Linked DNA regions of Xenopus tropicalis. The protein of the gene in region 2 purifies or fractionates together with the protein of the main gene of each other region. This does not show direct contact. Links are inferred from orthologs where the notes say so. Each region holds a gene or a part of one and is shown on either strand. Other genes may lie near its edges. The genes, in order: ikbkg, pias4 and smad4.1.

Region 1 (7,020 bases), on a different chromosome or scaffold from region 2:
TAGCCAAATGGACGTCACAGGACAATGGGCAGGTTCTGCAAACTGGGGAACATGCTCTGGTCCCTAATTTCTCAGTATAAAGTCTTTTTAATATTTAAGGACAGCCAAAAGAAAATATATATATAACTTTGAACAACTGCTTTTCTTCACTGCAATACCAGAGTGCCTGCCTTCTCTCAACGTTTGTGCTTTATCCATAATGGCTTTCCCTAGCTGAAGGTCTGGGGCATGAGCACCTGGGCTCATCTATACTATGGGTGAGAATTTTCTGAAACACTTTGAGCATATGTTCTGTTCTTTGTATCTTTGGTATACCTGATAAGAACCAAGAACAAGAGCTGCCTGCTGGTCAAACAGGTATGGCATACACAGTATGGTTACCTTTCTATTGTTCCATTCTGTTTGGGGTCTACCACAACCCCTGTAACGTAACCTAATTACTCTTACTCGTAGGGAGGAAATACCCTTTCATATATATGAACCAACAGCACCCATTACAATTCTACATCATGGGGAGGGGGTCCAACAGACATCTCAAGTGGGCAATGTTCTAATGCTGAGTCACCAGCGCTGGTAGACCATGACCTACTTTTTCACAACCACTGGCCTTTCTCATACCTGTCGGAATAATAAAAAATCTTCTCTCAAGTATCTATAGTGGCCTGCTATAGACAAAGTTTATATTAGTGATGCATGGTCTGGCGGGTTCGGTGGATCCAGGCTAAAAGGGCAACCACTTCTAGAGCAGGTTGGTATTTCCAAGGGCAGGGCACAGAATGCTTCATATGTGCTCAGCATCAAATCACTGACATTGGCAGAATGGTTCAGGTTTTTTTATTTCCCTTCTCAATCTTGGGCTGGATTGGGTCCAGAAGGGATGGGTTAGGGTGGACCCAACTCGGAAAAAAATTTAGACCCAGGCATAACAGGTCCAACAAAGGCATTTTAAGATATAACGTCAGTGTGTGGTGCCCTATATCTGCTCTTTTGACACTGGAAATGGTGGTCATAGAAGTGCATCTCATTATTTATATCTCTGATGGGTGCCTACTGCTGAACTGAGTGGAGTACCCAAAGGAAAGCCACACAGACACAGAAAGAACATACAAACTCCCTGCACATTGTATCCTGGCTGGAATTGAACCATTGCACTTCAGTGCTGCCAGCACTGATTTCATCTGAGCTTTTAATATTACATACTGATGGACTGGACCCAAGAACTCACAAATTGAAAGCAAAAGTATTTCTGCATAAAGCTACAGTATCATGCATTCCAGAAATGATGCAGAATTATCGGAAACACAGGCACAGTGTGAATTATTTCTAATTTGAATTAGATTATTAATGAAGGAAATTTACAATCACTGATGGGTGACAATACCCGTGGGTCAGGTGGGTTCAGGCAGACCTCGGCACATCACTTGTGCTTAATGGGCGGGTTAAGCTCTTCCACCTGCTTTACCTGTCCAGGACCGCAACACTGGAATCCTGCGTCTTACGAATTTATAGGTGCATGCCTGCCACACCCGCCCCTTTTGTGATGGTGGGGCAGGGCGGGCATGGGTCTATATATGCACCCCCCAGTAATTGTAGCTTTCCTTCTCTTTTTTTATCTCCAGAGGAACAAATGTACTCATTACAGGGGTTAAATTCCTGACCCCCATGCCATGCAGCATCAAGTTGCTATGGTCTATTTACCCTAGAAACCTGGCAGTGGTTTGAATAAAAGACTGGAATAAGAGGAGTCTGAGTAGAAAGATAAGGAATAAAAAGTAAAAAAATAACAATAAAATTGTAGCCTCACAGAGCAATTGTTTTTGGCTGCCACAGTCAGTGACCCCCATTTAAAAGCTGTAAAGAGGCAGAAGGAGGGCAAATAATTCAAACATTAAGAGAAATAAATAATGGAGACCAACTGCAAAGTTGCTAGGAATGGGACATTCTATAACATACTAAAAATCCACATAAAGGTGAACAACCTCTTTAAAAGTAGCTTTTCATTTATAGCCTACAAAGGCATTTAGGGAACCTGAGTTTCAGAGACTACACTGAATATACAGGGGTGGAAATTCCCCATGACACATGGGAAAATCCATAGGGCCAGTAAAAATGTTTACCCCACCCCAAAGGCTAGTTATTTGGTAAAACCAGACTGTAAACCATAGTTACCTCTACTAATAGAAAAAAAGAACATAAAAACATAAAACATTATAAACAGATATAGACATCCAACCATAAAGCAAAAGTAAATAGGAAACGGTTTAATAGAAACCAATGACCAGTTCTGAATACCAGAGAAAAAGGGAAAGTCCTGATGACATCACATAGTATATTGGCCAATTATATCTCTCCCATGTTATCAGAAGGAATAAGGAAGTAGTTGTGAATGTTATTGGAGAGACAGCGATAAGAAGGAAGCAAAGAGGAATGCAGCCCAGGTGATCAGTGTCTGCTGTTTGGGATCAGAGCAAAATTACATAATTACAATATGGGATTAAAGGACAATTAACACCAACATTTAATTATTACCTTTCTTACTTTTTATAGTGTCTGCATATTCTGGAGCACTTAAAGAGATTATACATCATTTCCATTAGTTCCTGCCCCAGTGGAGTTTACAATCTAAGGTCCATTTCATATTCCAATCAGCCCCTGCCCAGTGAGCTTGCAATCTAAGGTCCCTATCACATTCTCATCAGTCCCTGCACAGTGAGTTTACAATCTAATGTCCCTATCATATTCCCATCAGTCCCTGCCCCAATAAGCTTACAATCTCAAGTTCCCATCAGTCATTGCCCAGTGAGCTTACAATCTCAAGTTCCCATCAGTCATTGCCCAGTGAGCTTGCAATCTAAGGTCCCTATCACATTCCCATCAGTCCCTGCCCCAGTGAGCTTACAATCTAAGGTCCCTATCTTATTCACACACATTAGAGTCAATTCTATCAGAAGCCAATAAACCTGCCTGTATGTTTTTGAATGAGGGAGGAAAGCAGTGCAGAAAACAGAGAAACTCCTTGCCGACAGTGCCACCTGCACCCTAGGGCACAGCACTGCCCATAATTCCCTTGTTGCTGTGTGCATGTATATATGCCCCTTTATATAGTTTACCATAAAATTATTTGGACTGCTTTGTATTGCAATTGCAGTCTGCCAGACTATCCTCTGACCCCAATATAATGCAGCTGGTATCTCCATTGCCAATGTGCAAGTGGGCAAAAGGGGCAGATGTTGCACCCCTGTAAATCCAGCCATTCACAACACTGCCTATGCAAGCCGACTAACATAACCTGACCACCAGTGTCCACATGACAGGCAGGCTTAAGGTGGCCGATTGTAGCTGCCGATATCGGTCCCTTAGACTGATTCGGCAGCTTATCGGCCCAAGTAGGGGCACAAACGACAGGCCTGCCCGACCGACATCTGGCCTGAAATCGGTAGATATCAATCAGGCAGGTTAAAAATTTTAGTCAGATCGGGGACCGCATCGGCTTGTTGATGCGGTCCCCGACTGAATTAGCCTGAATTCACCCGATATTGCCCACCCGTAGGTGGGGGATATCGGGAGAAGATCCGCTCACTTGGCGATCTCGCCAGGCACTTTTAGAAAATATGCACTGCATCTGCGCCACACACACGCAGTTGGGTCTATTTTTGGCAAACCTAACGCAACTGTAGTAGATGAGTTGCAATTGTGTCAAGAGAATCATCAATTTGTGATTGCAATGACCCCGTAATTCTGGAAAAAAACAGTGCACTGTGGGTAAATTCCACTTTATGCCCTGCGTTTAGGTAAGTGAATGTGACCTATGGTGTATACAAATGCTGCTACTGACAGCTTGCTGTCTAAGCTCTCCTCCATTCCAAATCTCCCTGATTCCCCCTACACTTCACATCATCAGGTACAATTGGTTTTTTAGAGGTCTTTTCATTAAAATAGAGCACAATCAGCTGACTGTCCGACATACCCTATTGCTATTCTCTACACTGCTGGTTCTGACAACTGAAACCTGCATGAGCAATGACTATACACAGGAAGGGATACATACAGCTACCGAGTGCATTTACAAATAGCTGTAAAATCAGTGAAAACGTTGAATGCATGTATGGGTTAGCTGCTTGTGATGTTCTGCTATGGGTGCTGGATCCGACACCCATTCTATTAGTATAAAACCACTTTTAATTACCTACTGTGCAGTAACGCTTAGAGTCTCCACTCACTGTCTCAGGGTCGGCTTCCTCCACCCATTCCTTGAACAAAATGAAACTGAAGTCCAGGTTCTGTCAAGACACTTACCAAAGTGTTTTTGTATCGCTTCCGGGTTCGCTTTCCGTAGATGGTCCAACCCCAGGAAATGAGGCTCACGCTGTTTGACAGTATTGTCGGAAGTGGGGCAGGAGTCCTAAACCGGAAATGAAGCATGGCATGACTGCATTGGATTAGAAAAAAATGTAAGCGGTAAAATGTGCCAATACTCTCCTGATGGCGACCTTCGGCAACATCCCCTCCTTTGATTGGCTGTTTGCCGCTTTTCTCTGTTTTCATTGGGGAACCGTGCTCATGCGGCGCACCTCATGGCGGTGAATGACGCAAGCCACGCCCATGTGGTGGCTAAACCATTCTCTGATTGGTGGAGCGGCGCCGGGGCTGGGTGTAACGCTACAGAAGTAGGCAGAGATGGGGAGCAGTCCCAGTGTGGGTGAGTGAGGGGGTGGATCTCTCACCTGGTGTCAGTGTTCCAGCACTAGAAAAATGTGTGGAAACCTGTTCTCTGTGTGTGTGTTAGTTATAGCGTGTGGGGGGTAGCGGCTACACGAGTAGCACACAGCCTGCTTACACGCTCCGCAGCATGCTTCTTTCAATGGAGAAATTACTGCCATAGAACTGCCACACGCGTCTCAATTAGAAAACCAAATCTGTTAGTGTTCTAGAGCGATGAATCCAGCTGCTAAAGCATTAGGTTTCATATACACCTGTATATATGCATGTCAGGAACCCTGAGCTATATTCTACTATAATGGGATTTTACCAGGGGCCACATTATTCTATATAAGTATCAGTGGGTGGTGCTGTGAATGACATCACTAAGTGCTGATTATAAACAATGACATCACTAGGTGCCATATCTGTATATGAATATTTTTACAGGTTAATCATTGCTCTTGTATGTGTTTAATGTGTGCGCACGTAACTCTGAAATTCATATTGGATCTATGTATATTATATGTATGTATAAGTGATCCATAGTTGGGAACTGTTCCTAATGACCAGGCACTGTGCCAGTTGCTGACCAATTGCAGCATTTTGTTATTCCAGTGATAATAAAGCAATTTTTATGGTTTTCTCTTTCATTTCCCTGCAGAGTCCTCCCTCCTGACCCAAAAACACCTATGTACCCCAATAGGCAGAGGAAGTCATATATATGGCAGCTGCCAACCCTGCTGCTCTACTCTGCCTTAAATCCTGATGTACGAGGAAGCATAAGGCTGGAACTAGGGCTAGGCAGCAGGGGCATGTGACTCAATCACAGTTGGGGGGCACAGGCTGGACTGGCATTCAGGGCCAGAACTAGGGGTAGGCAGAAGAGGCAGCTGCCTAGGGGGCAACGATTGAAGGGCGCCAGGCAGGAGCCTCTCTTGCCTACCCCTAGTTAGTGCTCCATTTTCATTACCCCTGCCGCGGTGGGGGCAATGAACTTTCACATCGCACCCCCCCGCCAAAACACACGGGGGGTGCAATGCAATAGTGCAGGGACTAGGTGGCCACCCGGGTTGCCTTGGGTGGCCGGTTGGCTCAGTCCACCCCTGCTGGCATTCCAAGTACACAGAGGCCCAAACAGCCCCCACCAGCCCAATAAATAGTGACTGGAAGAGCGGGAGCAAGCAGTGGGTGGCTGACCTGTAAATTGAACTGAAGTGGGGGATTGGTCCAGTTAGACAAGGGGGCACATTTACTAATCCACGAACGTCCGGAAAGCGTCCGAATGCGGTTTTTTCGTAATGATCGGTATTTTGCGACTTTTTTCGCGAATTTTTAGAGCGCTCAATACGAAAAAGTCGCGAAAATTTGCGAAAGTCGTAATGGCTATGCAAAAGTCGCGACAATTCAAGAAAGTCATAATGGCTATGAAAAAGTCGCAACAATTCACGAAAGTTATATTGGCTATGCAAAAGTCGCGACAATTCACGAAAGTCATAATGGCTATGCAAAAGTCGCGACAATTCACGAAAGTCATAATGGCTATGAAAAAGTTGCGACAATTCGCGCAAGTCGTAACGGCTACGAAAAAGTCGCTACGGTGACGAACAAATCGCAAAAAATACGAAAAAGTCGCAAAATGTTCGTTTCCAATCCAATTTTTTCCGATTCGGGATTCGGATTCGTGGATTAGTAAATCAGCCCCAAGGAGTCATGGGCCCTTCAGTGCCAATTATACTTGGCCTGGCTCTAGGGAAACATACTGTATTTGGGTGCTTGGTTTGGGATAGAGGTGTAAGGATTCTGCAGGGAACCAAAGAGGTATGAAGTGGTTTATTTCTCCTATAATACTATTTTGTCCCAATATAAATAATCCTTTCCATTTTTACCCTTGTCCCTTGTTGAATATTTGTGTTTCGCCGCACAACAATGCAATTAATTTAGTGATCTAAGTTTGCTTTATGGATATGAACCTAAAGTAGGAGATATAAATATTGTAAGATTGTAAGCTCTACTGGGGAAGGGATTGATGTGTAATTACTGCTTTAAAATCCAGTGCCAGAGAGTACTCTGGGATGTACAAGAGTGATGTGGGGAGAAAGGTGCATGGAGTAGAGCAGTGGAATGCTCAGTTTGGGAGGGATTTGATGAAGGGGAGTGGTGAAACATGCATAGTAGGCTGGGAGTCCCTAGACGGGAGCCTGCCTCTATGTCCCGCCCTATCAGACAAACACAACGCTCCTGGCATCTCTAGGGCACACACACAGCACTGACATCTCGAAGCACAAGCTAAACTTGATTCCCCTGAGTCGGCACAGCATC
Region 2 (7,034 bases):
GCTGATAATAACTCCAGAGTTCAAATACATAGGCATTAAGGTATCACTACCTACTTCCACCTACTGGGTAATGAATATCTTACCACTGTTGGGCATGGTGGAAACAAGATTTAAACAATGGGCTGGTCTACCACTCAGTCCACAAGGTCATATTAGTTTAATAAAAATGACAATACTCCCCAAAGTATTGTATATACTTACACATGCTCCTATAAGGGTCCCCAAATCCTTTTTCCAAAAATTTGATAAAATAATGAGCCCCTTTATATAGGGAACGGGGAGAAGGAGACTAAAACTAGACTACCTTAAAAAAGCTGCAGACAGTGAAGGAGCATCTCTACCAGAGACTGAGAACTATACCACCTGGCTACCCAACTAGCACACGCCAAACCCTGGTTCACCCAAAAACCTAATTGCCCATCCTCCAAACTGCTAATGGCCCTGAACAACACACAAAGACCCATCCTACAAGAGATGCTAAAAACCCCAACTGACAAACCACGAAACACAACCCACCCTATAATATCTCTAACCCGCACCTTATGGTCGCGCACTGAAGCAGTATGCACACACCAGGCTAAACACCTAGACACACCCATATGGAACAACCGAGCGCTTAATGAATTTACCCACATAGAGGCAGGGCGGATATGGAACAACAAAGGGGTACAAATACTACAACATTTGGTGCAAAACAACTCCCTTAAACCCTTTGACAGACTCCAAAGGGAATACGAAATGCCCGGTACCCAAAGGTTAACATATAGGCAAGTACAACATGCCTACCAGTCAGCCCCCTTTAAGGTGGGAAAATCACCCTTTTGCAGAATACTTGAGGTACAAACATATAGTACATTAACATTCTGCAAATATGAAAAGGCCAATGCCAGCCTCTTCAGGGCATGGCGAACTGATATCCCCGCACTAACTGATGATGAATGGTTGGACGCCTTGGAGGCACCCAGGTTCATTTCCCCCACTGCTAACCACAAAATGATTCAGAAGCTTATCCTTCACAGGGCATACTTTACCCCACTAAGGCTGCATAGGATGAACCCCCAAATATCCCCTAACTGTACTAGATGCGGCCTAGCCCCAAGTACCTTTATATACATGCTGTGGGAATGCAATAAGCTGCAATTATACTATAGAAAGTTATTTGCCACAATAGCAGAAACAACAAACATGCAACTCCAGCCTTCCCCGGAACTAGCTATATTAGGAGCATGCGATGATTCCCTGGGTAACAAATGCCAGCTAACGGTTATACGACAAGGCCTCTTCCAAGCCCGTAGATGCATAACATACCTGTGGAAAGATGTGAACCCCCCCAACCCACCAAACATGGCTAGACCAAATGCAGAAATATATAGACTGTATGCAATACCTATACACAAAAACAGCAGCCCCAGAGAAGTTTGACAAAATATGGGGTTCCTGGCCCCTCCCCTAGATATTAACCTAAGAAAGCCAAAGCCCCATTACTGTATGAGCGACAACTAACACACCCTACCCACCGTACGCCCACGACAAACCTCACACCCCTGGATTTGCCTGCTAGGTTAGGTAACAACTCTTATCACCTACTTTACCATAGGTTACGTTATGTTAACTTCATTTGTTTTAGTATTACTTTTACTTTTATTTCTGGACCTTGTGTAAAAACTGTTTCAACCGGTAAGCCGACATATATATGTACAATGCCGATGCTATGCACTTTGGGAAAACTGTAACAAATACTTCAAAGTTCCTAACTCTGATGTGTAACAAAAGATTTACATGTATTATATGATAAATGGTCAATAAAGGTTATGATGTTAAAAAAAAATGTATTCTGAACCAACTATCCTGGTCCTGCCTCTCACTCCTAGAGCTCCCAAAAAGGAATGTAGGGTTTTTCAGTGTTCTTTTGAGTTCTTCTTCTTACATGACCAATATATTCACTTTAGAGTTCATGGTATTATCAGTTTTTACACTGACAACGAAATATTTTCCTACTGTCAGCCCCACAGTTTCCATACAATGTCCATATTTGTTTACAAATGCGTAACCAAGACCAAACAGTGTATCCATCAGATAAACGTAAATCAATCATACACTATTAGGGACAAAACACAGCAAAGAAATAGAACATGTGCACAAATTTTCCTCTGCTGTTTAAGATCTTTAATACCAAGTCACTATCTATCTACAACTACCACATAATAGTTAACGCCGTTAAGGAAACAAAGCTTTCTTCACTAGTATATGCTAGTATTTTCCAATTGGTCTATTTTACCCACAAAAAAGAATTACAATGTAAGCGGCAACGTTACATTACGTCATACGCACAACCAATTGGTGATAAGGCATTACAAAGGGAAGACTCCTCCCATGCCGGACTGCCGGACTGCCGAACGTATAATCATGGAGAGATATACGCAAGCGCGAAGTGGTAGGAGCCGAGCTTGTAAAGAAGCGATTGGGGATTGGCACATGAGCGCGCGGGATGATCACGTGGGGCGGCGTCGGCCGGCGCGGGGGACGCTGGAAGCCAAGATGGCGGCGGAGCTGGTGGAGGCGAAGGTGAGACGGGAAATGAGGGTTTAAATTAGTGAGATCTTGGCTACTTTGCCTATTCATTGCAAGAATGCCTCCCAAGTGTAATACACTAAATGTCCCTATTTCGTTTTGCTTTGTGTCCTATTAAGGTTTTAGTTACTGTACGTCTATAATGCGCCCACCATTTACGGCATATGGCCCGCAAGCGACTTATTTCTCTGTACTGTTACACAAAATGTTGCCGGTTATTCTTTGTGCTTAATGTCCAAATTTAGTTCTCCGATGCAAATAATTTTCAAACAAATAAGTGCTTAGCCGTAATTTCTAGCCACTGCTGTCTGGGAGATAGTAATATAGCGCTATCCGGCCCCATCGTATTCTTACTCTCTCTTTCTTAGTCTCAGTAGTTTCATAATGATCATCCACAGTTATTCTCCAAACAGTTCTACCTGTCTGTCATTTGGCTGGTTGCTTTTATTTACCTAAAGTAGTATTTTATTTAGAATCCAACGTTAGATGGTTGGAGACATTAGGGGCCCCTCTGCGCATTTAGAAGACCTTGTTTATAAACATCTTTTGTTTTACATGTATGGATATCTTGGTACTTTTAAGTAATGCCTTAGACTTTGCTGGAGTTTTATTGATATTTATTGTGGATATATTAGTGTGCAACTTAAATGTTTAAACTTTCATAAGGGCCATGGCAAATGCTTTATATATAAAATTTCCCATTGACACTAATAAGGTGCTCCCCTGAATACTTTCAGGTGGAGATATTCCTTTTTTTGATATAATCGAATACAATTGTTGCTTATTATTCTGAGAAAGAGTAGTTGTATTGGATACAAGTTTTAAGCCTTTAAGGGATATTGTCGCCCGGATCATTTTAGCAATAATTTATTTATTTTTGTACATTGGAGGTCTCATTATTTTTTGAATTGTCCAACAGAGCTTTACTTTATTAGCTAATGTTCTATTATTAAGTTTATCTGTTGAATTATTTGCTATAATCTTTGCTATATGTATGCATTCCATACTCTTATGTCACATGTGGTGCTTGCTCTGGTGACAAAATGCCCATACTTCCTATCAGACAAGGGAAGGTTCACAGGTGGTTTTAGGCATTTCCACCACCCAGAGGATCTGCATTATTGATCCGGCAATGTCTTTTGGTGCATTGACATTTGTATCAAGAATCTTTGCCACAATGCAAGGCTGGCTTTTTGTGTTTGCCAGAATGGAAATAGAAAGTCACATGAGTACCACAAACTAATTTTCTCCATGCAAGCATTAAATAACTTTAAAAGTTCATATTTTTCAAACTACTCTTTATGCAATATTTAAATTGTTATGCAAAAGAAAACACGTATTCTTTTTCTATCCATTTTTAAAGAACTGTAAAATTATGAAAGATGAATGCATATTGATACACATTTCTCCTCTTGTCTAACATTTTTCAGTTGGCAGAGAAATGGCTGATAGCCACTCCCACCTCCTCCTGTTCACTTGAATGGGCAACATCTCACAGTGCCTGAAGGATACCGAGCCTCTCAGGCATGGTTGGGAGTTAGCATTTTGTGATGAAACGACCTACCTTAATCCTACAGTTCAGGTGCCTTGGAGGCTGACAAATTTATTTTTTAGTGGGTCACGAGCAGGTGATGGGCTCAAATCCCTAAGGTCAGGTGCGAGTCCACTCGCACCTTACTTATAGCAGTAAACTGATGCACCAGCTTTATTACTTAGTAACATAGTAGATGACATTATAAAAAGACACCCTTCCATCAATTTCAATCTTTTTGCCAGAGGATGGTGAAAAAAAAACTGTAGCCTCTCCAAGGAAAAATCTTTCCTGATTTTCCTACTAAGAAGTAATTCAGTAAATTTTGATTTCCTTATGTTCTAAAGATATCCAACCCTTTCTTAAAACTTATGCTTCTGCCAATACGGAAGACTCAGGGGAGTCCTCACTGTGTAAAAAACATTTAGCATACTAAAATGGAACTTTCTTCTAATCTGAATGAATGCCCTCACATTAGCTGGAAGGACCTACTGGTTAATAAAGCATCAGTTTATTGCATGGCCTCTTTGAATATTTATACAAAGTACCATGTCCAACTATAAATGCCTCTTCTCCAGCTAAAACATATCGGAGACCACCCATACCCTTTATCAGCATAGTTACTCCTCTGTGGACTTTTTGCATTAATATCTATTTTAAGGATTGTAAACCACAACTTCCCTTTCCACTTAATCTGAGGAATTGTGTGAGATATATATTTTTGTAAATTTTAAGATATTGTGCAAGATATATATTTTTACAGTTCAAGTACAGCTATGGGATCCTTTATCCGGAAACCCCTTATCCGGAAAGTTCTGAATTACGGAAAGGCCATCTCCCATAGACTCCATTATAAGCAAATAATTAAAATTTTTAAAAATTATTTCCTTTTTCTTTGTAATTATAAAACAGAACCTTGTACTTGATCCCAACTAAGATGTAATTAATGCTTATTGGAGGAAACACAAGCCTATTCGGTTTATTCAATATTTAAATGATTTTTAGCAGAACCAAATTACGGGAAGATCCCTTATCTGTAATACCCCGGGTCCCGAGCATTCTGGATAACAGGTCCCATACCTGTAGTGTTTTTTTTTTTTTTTTTTTTTTTTTTTTTTTTTTTTTTAAACCAATTGAATTGAGCTTGTGCCATAAAGGATAGTATCAGTTATTCTCCCTTTTGTTTTCAAGAAAGCTCCTGTTAATCTAAATGTCCTGTCCACCTTCCTGCTTAGACAGAAAAGTAATGTAATAGCTTAGGTTGACACACGACCATCAAGTTCAGCTTTTTATGTCCATGAATCCAGCCTGGAGAAAGGCAAAAACAAAAAAACATTTCTTAGCCTGTCCACAGCCTCGGAGGTTAAAAAGATATTCCTTCCTGGCTCTAAGATGGCAGTTTGACCGGACCCTGAATCAACTTGTACTAAAAGCTTTAAGAAAGCAAGACTAACAGTTCACAGTCAGGAATGAAGAAGATTGACATAGCATTTTACCAAATGAGCAGCAGCTCATTGAGGCGTGCCTAACATTTGGCACCCTCCATTGATTTAAATTTTTCTTGTCCTTTACAAGTATTTATAGATGATTGAAACTAAGATAAAACATATGCTCATAAGTATTTCAAAAAAATCTCACCCGTAGTATAGATGGGCCCATGCCCCAGACCTTCAGCTAGAGGGAGCCATCATGGATAAGTCGCAAACATAGAAAGAAGGCAGGCACTCCGGTATTATTAAGTGAAGGAAAGCGATTGTTCACGAGAGGATTGAAGTAAAATCACAATACTTTTATTAAGCTAACACATGATACAGAGAGCCTAACGCGTTTCGTACCCTACGGTACTTAATCATAGGCTGAATGAAAATAAGTAAATTAAGTACCGTAGGGTACGAAACGCGTTAGGCTCTCTGTATCATGTGTTAGCTTAATAAAAGTATTGTGATCTGAGGTAATGTGTCTTATACCACTCTATGGGCAAGCCGCCCGGGCCTGGCGCCTTGCCCGAGGGGAAGGATTTTATGGCCTCTGGGACCTCATCTGAGGTAATGTTTTTATTTAGAAACTCTGTTCTTTCTCTGGAAAGTTTGTGGATTGAGATGCTATCTAAGTATTTGGCCAGGGTTTCCTGGGGGTGGTGTGTTTTAGACCTATACAGTTCGGCGTAAAATGCAGTGAATTCGTCCTGGATTTGGTCCAGCTCATGTACCTCACTTCCCTCCGAGTTCAGGATTCTGGGGATAGCGGTTAACTGGGAGGGCTCTCTAGAGAGTATAGAGAGGAGGCGGCCACATTTGTTGCCTTTTTCATACCAGGTGGCTACTTGTTTGACTTCCCCTTGCGAATACTTTTCTGTATAGACTAGGTTAACATTCCTCTGTGCTAATGAGTAGGCCTCCCCCAGGTGTTCAGTGGGGGTCCCTTGTGCACTCCCTTTCTGCTACTTCTAAGGCCTCTGAGTGAAGTATCTAACTTGCGTCTAGCCTCTTTGATCAGGGAGATATATGTTCCCCACGCAAAGGCCTTTCCCGCATCCCATACTACTGGATCCACTGCTGAGCCTAGGTTGGTTTCCCAGTAACTTTTGAATTGCCTTCCAAACTCCTCCTGAACAAATTTGTGCTAGATCCATCTAGGTGGTAGTCTCCACTGGCTCTCTCCCACCCCGCCCGGGACACTTAGGTCCATCTGTAGTGGTGCGTGGTCTGAACAGACTCTGGTAGTATAGGAGATTGAGTGTACCAGTTGCAGGATTAGGGGGGAGGCTAGTGCCAGGGGAGACTGGTTTTCCTGAAGAGGATTGCAACTCCCCTCGAGTAAGTGGAGTATTCGGCATGGAATGTAGGGTGGATCCAGTGCCTCTTGAGAGCCCTGACCCTCTGGCCTATTAGATGCGTCTCTTGCAGCAGCATAATGTCTGCTCCTAGTTTTT
Region 3 (7,132 bases), about 110 Mb from region 2:
ACTTGCAGTTCCATTATTCTAAACAACTAGACCCCAACATTGCATGAGAAATATGTGTCTCCCACCCAACGGTACAGGGGCTATATTCTCTGCAGCCAGGGGCCCCATATAGGTGCTATGTACAGGGGCTATATTCTCTGCAGTCAGGGGCCCCATATAGGTGCCATGTACAGGGGCTATATTCTCTGCAGCCAGGGGGCCCCATATAGGTGCCATGTACAGGGGCTATATTCTCTGCAGTCAGGGGGCCCCATATAGGTGCCATGTACAGGGGCTATATTCTCTGCAGTCAGGGGCCCCATATAGGTGCCATGTACAGGGGCTATATTCTCTGCAGTCAGGGGGCCCCATATAGGTGCCATGTACAGGGGCTATATTCTCTGCAGTCAGGGGGCCCCATATAGGTGCCATGTACAGGGGCTATATTCTCTGCAGTCAGGGGCCCATATAGGTGCCATGTACAGGGGCTATATTCTCTGCAGTCAGGGGCCCATATAGGTGCCATGTACAGGGGCTATATTCTCTGCAGTCAGGGGCCCCATATAGGTGCCATGTACAGGGGCTATATTCTCTGCAGCCAGGGGCCCCATATAGGTGCCATGTACAGGGGCTATATTCTCTGCAGCCAGGGGCCCCATATAGGTGCCATGTACAGGGGCTATATTCTCTGCAGCCAGGGGCCCATATAGGTGCCATGTACAGGGGCTATATTCTCTGCAGTCAGGGGCCCATATAGGTGCCATGTACAGGGGCTATATTCTCTGCAGTCAGGGGGCCCATATAGGTGCCATGTACAGGGGCTATATTCTCTGCAGTCAGGGGCCCATATAGGTGCCATGTACAGGGGCTATATTCTCTGCAGCCAAGGGCCCATATAGGTGCCATGTACAGGGGCTATATTCTCTGCAGCCAGGGGGCCATATAGGTGCCATGTACAGGGGCTATATTCTCTGCAGTCAGGGGGCCATATAGGTGCCATGTACAGGGGCTATATTCTCTGCAGTCAGGGGCCCATATAGGTGCCATGTACAGGGGCTATATTCTCTGCAGTCAGGGGCCATATAGGTGCCATGTACAGGGGCTATATTCTCTGCAGTCAGGGGGCCATATAGGTGCCATGTACAGGGGCTATATTCTCTGCAGTCAGGGGCCCCATATAGGTGCCATGTACAGGGGCTATATTCTCTGCAGTCAGGGGCCCATATAGGTGCCATGTACAGGGGCTATATTCTCTGCAGTCAGGGGGCCATATAGGTGCCATGTACAGGGGCTATATTCTCTGCAGTCAGGGGGCCATATAGGTGCCATGTACAGGGGCTATATTCTCTGCAGTCAGGGGCCCATATAGGTGCCATGTACAGGGGCTATATTCTCTGCAGTCAGGGGCCATATAGGTGCCATGTACAGGGGCTATATTCTCTGCAGTCAGGGGCCCATATAGATGCCATGTACAGGGGCTATATTCTCTGCAGTCAGGGGCCCATATAGGTGCCATGTACAGGGGCTATATTCTCTGCAGTCAGGGGCCCATATAGGTGCCATGTACAGGGGCTATATTCTCTGCAGTCAGGGGGCCCATATAGGTGCCATGTACAGGGGCTATATTCTCTGCAGTCAGGGGCCCATATAGGTGCCATGTACAGGGGCTATATTCTCTGCAGTCAGGGGCCCATATAGGTGCCATGTACAGGGGCTATATTCTCTGCAGTCAGGGGGCCCATATAGGTGCCATGTACAGGGGCTATATTCTCTGCAGTCAGGGGCCCATATAGGTGCCATGTACAGGGGCTATATTCTCTGCAGTCAGGGGGCCATATAGGTGCCATGTACAGGGGCTATATTCTCTGCAGTCAGGGGGCCCATATAGGTGCCATGTACAGGGGCTATATTCTCTGCAGTCAGGGGCCCATATAGGTGCCATGTACAGGGGCTATATTCTCTGCAATCAGGGGGCCATATAGGTGCCATGTACAGGGGCTTTATTCTCTGCAGTCAGGGGCCCATATAGGTGCCATGTACAGGGGCTATATTCTCTGCAGTCAGGGGCCCATATAGGTGCCATGTACAGGGGCTATATTCTCTGCAGTCAGGGGCCCATATAGGTGCCATGTACAGGGGCTATATTCTCTGCAGTCAGGGGCCCATATAGGTGCCATGTACAGGGGCTATATTCTCTGCAGTCAGGGGGCCATATAGGTGCCATGTACAGGGGCTATATTCTCTGCAGTCAGGGGGCCCATATAGGTGCCATGTACAGGGGCTATATTCTCTGCAGTCAGGGGCCCATATAGGTGCCATGTACAGGGGCTATATTCTCTGCAGTCAGGGGCCCATATAGGTGCCATGTACAGGGGCTATATTCTCTGCAGTCAGGGGGCCATATAGGTGCCATGTACAGGGGCTATATTCTCTGCAGTCAGGGGGCCCATATAGGTGCCATGTACAGGGGCTATATTCTCTGCAGTCAGGGGCCCATATAGGTGCCATGTACAGGGGCTATATTCTCTGCAGTCAGGGGGCCATATAGGTGCCATGTACAGGGGCTATATTCTCTGCAGTCAGGGGGCCCATATAGGTGCCATGTACAGGGGCTATATTCTCTGCAGTCAGGGGCCCATATAGGTGCCATGTACAGGGGCTATATTCTCTGCAATCAGGGGGCCATATAGGTGCCATGTACAGGGGCTTTATTCTCTGCAGTCAGGGGCCCATATAGGTGCCATGTACAGGGGCTATATTCTCTGCAGTCAGGGGCCCATATAGGTGCCATGTACAGGGGCTATATTCTCTGCAGTCAGGGGCCCATATAGGTGCCATGTACAGGGGCTATATTCTCTGCAGTCAGGGGGCCATATAGGTGCCATGTACAGGGGCTATATTCTCTGCAGTCAGGGGCCCCATATAGGTACCATGTACATAGAAGCTTTTTGTTTTTTTAAGGGCCCCATTTTACAGGGTTCATCACCTTTGGGGCCCAGGTGACTGGAGGGTTAATACTTGAAGCCGCATGATTACTTTTGACGGCCCTGGCTGCTGGTTTAGGATTGGCTGCTGCTGTACTGGCACTGTGAGACTAAAGCAAAGGGTTAATAATATAAATAAAAGGCAGAGGCTTTCCCAAAATCAAGCAGCAGGCCTGGGAGCGTAACCAGCCCCGTTAGCAGAAGCAATCCAGTAAGCAGGGCTTCTTCCAGAATGCAGCACTACTGCGCTAGTAAGGCCCCGCCCACAGACTGGCAATTCCGCCCTGTTCTAATACAGCCACGCCTCTTTCCCTAACTAGCCTTTTCCTTTCTCCACGCTTCCCCGCCTCCTCCTTCCCGCTCCATGCCGGCCCCGCCCACCCCCTGCTCAGTGGCCCGGATGTAGGCTGGATCGCTGCTGCTGTTGCTGCTGGTACGCAGGCGCGGCCCGTATCTGGGGGTTCTTGTTGTCCGCGGCCTGGGCCGCTGTGGAGCGGGCGGGGGGTGCCGGAAGAAACGGAGCTTTTCTTCACTTCGAATTCGGTAAGGAAATAGGCGGGAAGGAAGGGGTTGCTCCGGGCCTGGGCTGGGAGTGTAGTTCCCAGGCCGCCCGGGGATTAGCTGCCTTGCCGCTCATGGAGAGGGAGGGGACGGGCTGAGGCTCCGGGGCACAAACACTGGAGGCGGTGAGGCGCTTGCCTATCTTACGGGCGCCTTTAAAGCTCCTCTTTTCCCATAGGGGCCTATGGGAGTTACGGTTTGTCAGCTCTTACACATATCCTGTGCGGCTATTGTTGTTGCAGGGGATGATGGGAGTTGTAGTTCAGTAAAGACAGAGAAGCCCAAACCCTTATAGTGGTTTCCTAATTCACCTCTTAGAGGTTGGGGATTTGATTGATTGTAAGCTCCCTGGCTGAGGCTGATATGTACAGGAGGGTTTATTGACCCCTAATGGTTCCCAATAACCATGGGGTTATTTTATTGCTACTAGGGATGGGCAGTGGCAGGTAGGGATGGTCAAACCGCCTCTCCTAATGCTTTCCAATGGGTAGAACAGGAGACACAGGGAGAATATACAAATATATATATATAATGCCCTGACTGGGATCGAACCTACAACCCCAACACTTACCCCAGTGATTACTGGACAATACTGCTGTAGGACTCGGTAGCTGGGGCACAGAGAGAGGTTATAGGAATATCTGAGCCTAGCTCCCCCCGCCCATAAACCAGGCCACTGTGGGCTGAAAGGGACTGGCAGGTTTAGGTTTACTTCCCCTTTAAAGAGAATAGTAAGCCTCTAGGAAACATTGCTTCCTTTCAACGCTCTTATGGCATAGGGCTGCTGCCTAGCAACTAGTCATATGTTCCAATGTTAGACTGGATTGTAACTAGGAGTAGTTTTATTTGGCGGATGAGGCCTCTTGCAACAATGTAGCAGAAGTTGATTTCCTCCAGATCTATCTGCTGGCTTCTTCTACATTATTGTTATTAAAGATTATCATAAGGGATAATGTACCCCCTACTGTAAATGATAAGGATATTAGCAGTCACTGAGGGGTTATGTGCCCATATAAAGGCACAAGGCTGCAGGCTGAGTTATACAGGGAACTCTGAGTATCACTCATGTATTATAAGGGATAATGTACCCCCTACTGTAAATGATAAGGATATTAGCAGTCACTGAGGGGTTCTGTGCCCATATAAAGGCACAAGGCTGCAGGCTGAGTTATACAGGGAACTCTGAGTATCACTCATGTATTATAAGGGATAATGTACCCCCTACTGTAAATGATAAGGATATTAGCAGTCACTGAGGGGTTCTGTGCCCATATAAAGGCACAAGGCTGCAGGCTGAGTTATACAGGGAACTCTGAGTATCACTCATGTATTATAAGGGATAATGTACCCCCTACTGTAAATGATAAGGATATGAGCAGTCACTGAGGGGCTCTGTGCCCATATAAAGGCACAAGGCTGCAGGCTGAGTTATACAGGGAACTCTGAGTATCACTCATGTATTATAAGGGATAATGTACCCCCTACTGTAAATGATAAGGATATTAGAAGTCACTGAGGGGTTCTGTGCCCATATACATCGAGCCAAATGCAAAAAAAGACATATAGTGTCACTGTGTCGGTGAACACCAAACCATTGTCAGTTGGCAGATCGATGGGGATGTTGGGCTCACAGGTGGTGCGGCTGCATTGTGCAACCATAAAGCAGAGCAGCTGGGGGTTAAGCCGTGCAGGCACCTTAATGTCTCTGCGCATGAAGCGATGTGATTGGTGGTTCTGATTCCGTACACAATGTTCCTTTGCTGAAATTCATGATCCAGTTCCCCCCCCTTCTGTGAAACATTATATCTGATGCACGGATTAAGCGCCGGGGCTCAAGCTGCTTCTTTTAACAGTCGTTGAGGAGACACCATCAAGGCATATTATTAAATACAGCCTCATTCTTAGCATGCCAGCCGGCGGGCCGCTATCCCATCTACCATCATTGGATTATACACAAGCACTATACTGGGCTGGCAGATTGCTCTGAGCCTCCGTGCTGTACTGATATTAGTACCGGTGTATGCAAGATATCTCCGCCTGGTGTCTGCAATTCTTCTCTATTATTCATACTCTATGCCCTAGGGGGGTTACACAGTTCTGTATCCTTCTACCAGAACAGATCTGTGCATTTAAGTGACAAGCACATATCAGTGTAAAGCTGGGAATTAGGGATGCACCGAATCCATTTGGCTGAATAACGAACAGATTGCTAATTAGGTTACGGAAGGGTTACATCTTCATTAGCAAATGCTTATTAGGGTACGGAAGGGTTACATTTTCAACTTCCGTGTTTACGTGACAAAAAGTCACGTGATTTTTTGAATTTGGTTCGTCCAGGAGCATGGATTCGGCCGAAAGCAAATCCCGAACTGAATCCTGGATTCGGTGCAGCCCTACTGGGAATACACGTAGAATCTGTAATGGTCTGAACATTTTGGCTCCCAGTCCAACAACCAAACCATAATAGGGGCCCAACAGGATTCTGTAATGTGGTGGCCAAACTGGATCCAGATATCAGTCAGACAGGCCAGCAGGAGGGCTCCATATATTGGCTAATATGGGGCTGACTTGATCTGGAGGGACTAAAGGTGGCCATACACAGTAAGATCTGCTCACTTGGTGAGGTCGCCAAGCGAGCGGATCTTCTCCCAATATCCCCACCTACGGGTGGGTGATATCGGGCTAATTTGGTCATTTGGCCCTGGGGCCAAACGATCGAATTAGAATGACGGGTATAGGCGCAGTCAGTTCAGGGACCGCATCAACGAGCCGATGCAGTCCCCGGTCCAACTAAATTTTTAAACCTGCCTGATTTTAGGCCAGATATCGGTTGGGCAGGCCAGTCGGTAGTGCCCATACACGGGCCGATAAGCTGTCAAGTCAGTCTAAGGGACTGATATCGGCAGCTAGAATTGGCCCGTGTATGGCCACCTTAAGATCTGCTTTGTTGGTGAGGTCGCCAAACGAGCAGATCTTTTCCCAATTTTCTCCCGATATGCCAACCTAAGGTAGGAGATATTGGGCTAAATTGATCCTTTGGGGGGTATATGGGATGTCGGACCGAGGACTGCATCAATGAGCCCCTATCCGACGGGAAAATCAAGATCTGTTGGGGTAGGCCCGTGGGGGGTGCCCATACTCAGGTAGATAAGCTGCAGTATTTGTCTGAAGGACCCAAATCAGCAGCTGAAATCTGCCCCGTAAGGTAGCTGCTTTTATTGGTTACGTTATGAAAGAACGGAAGGACAAATGCTTCAAAGGAACTTGGGCACATACATTTGGTTGAATTATAGGTAGTAGTTTGTCTTTCATAGGGCTGCTGTCTGAAATAAATTGTACAGCAGCTGTACACCCTAATAGTAATTTAAAAAAAATTAGTTTATTAAGGATTTTAGTTGCCCGTGATAACCATCCGTGCCATGGATTGATGGATCCCTTCCTTTGCCTTTTTTGTGTGTAAAGTAATGGTGTTTTGACAGCACAGGCCTGGGGACGGCTATCGGAAGTGACATGTGGCTGTGATGGTCACATCAGGCTCCCTTAGGGCTCTGCGCTCCAGAATCCATTAAGGTATCAGATTCCGCAAAAGGTTTATATTTCTCTCCTTT

The links.
Region 1: the proteins of pias4 (region 2) and ikbkg purify together in Homo sapiens (affinity purification with western blotting; 5 studies listed by BioGRID, with this or other methods). This does not show direct contact. The link is inferred for Xenopus tropicalis from reciprocal best matches to the Homo sapiens genes PIAS4 and IKBKG.
Region 3: the proteins of pias4 (region 2) and smad4.1 purify together in Homo sapiens (affinity purification with western blotting, with the first as the bait; 3 studies listed by BioGRID). This does not show direct contact. The link is inferred for Xenopus tropicalis from reciprocal best matches to the Homo sapiens genes PIAS4 and SMAD4.

The regions. Positions count from the first base shown.
Region 1 is NC_030684.2:25,683,615-25,690,634, reverse strand, and holds the start of ikbkg (NF-kappa-B essential modulator), read right to left. Parts: upstream 4,496-7,020; 5' UTR 4,297-4,495; exon of another isoform or gene 4,187-4,296; intron 1-4,186. Other genes in the region: g6pd (glucose-6-phosphate 1-dehydrogenase), read left to right, coding at 4,678-4,699. UniProt on the Homo sapiens protein: Regulatory subunit of the IKK core complex which phosphorylates inhibitors of NF-kappa-B thus leading to the dissociation of the inhibitor/NF-kappa-B complex and ultimately the degradation of the inhibitor.
Region 2 is NC_030677.2:93,074,407-93,081,440, reverse strand, and holds the start of pias4 (E3 SUMO-protein ligase PIAS4), read left to right. Parts: upstream 1-2,532; 5' UTR 2,533-2,538; coding exon 2,539-2,565; intron 2,566-7,034.
Region 3 is NC_030677.2:205,054,670-205,061,801, forward strand, and holds the start of smad4.1 (mothers against decapentaplegic homolog 4), read left to right. Parts: upstream 1-3,343; 5' UTR 3,344-3,506; intron 3,507-7,132. UniProt on the Homo sapiens protein: In muscle physiology, plays a central role in the balance between atrophy and hypertrophy. When recruited by MSTN, promotes atrophy response via phosphorylated SMAD2/4.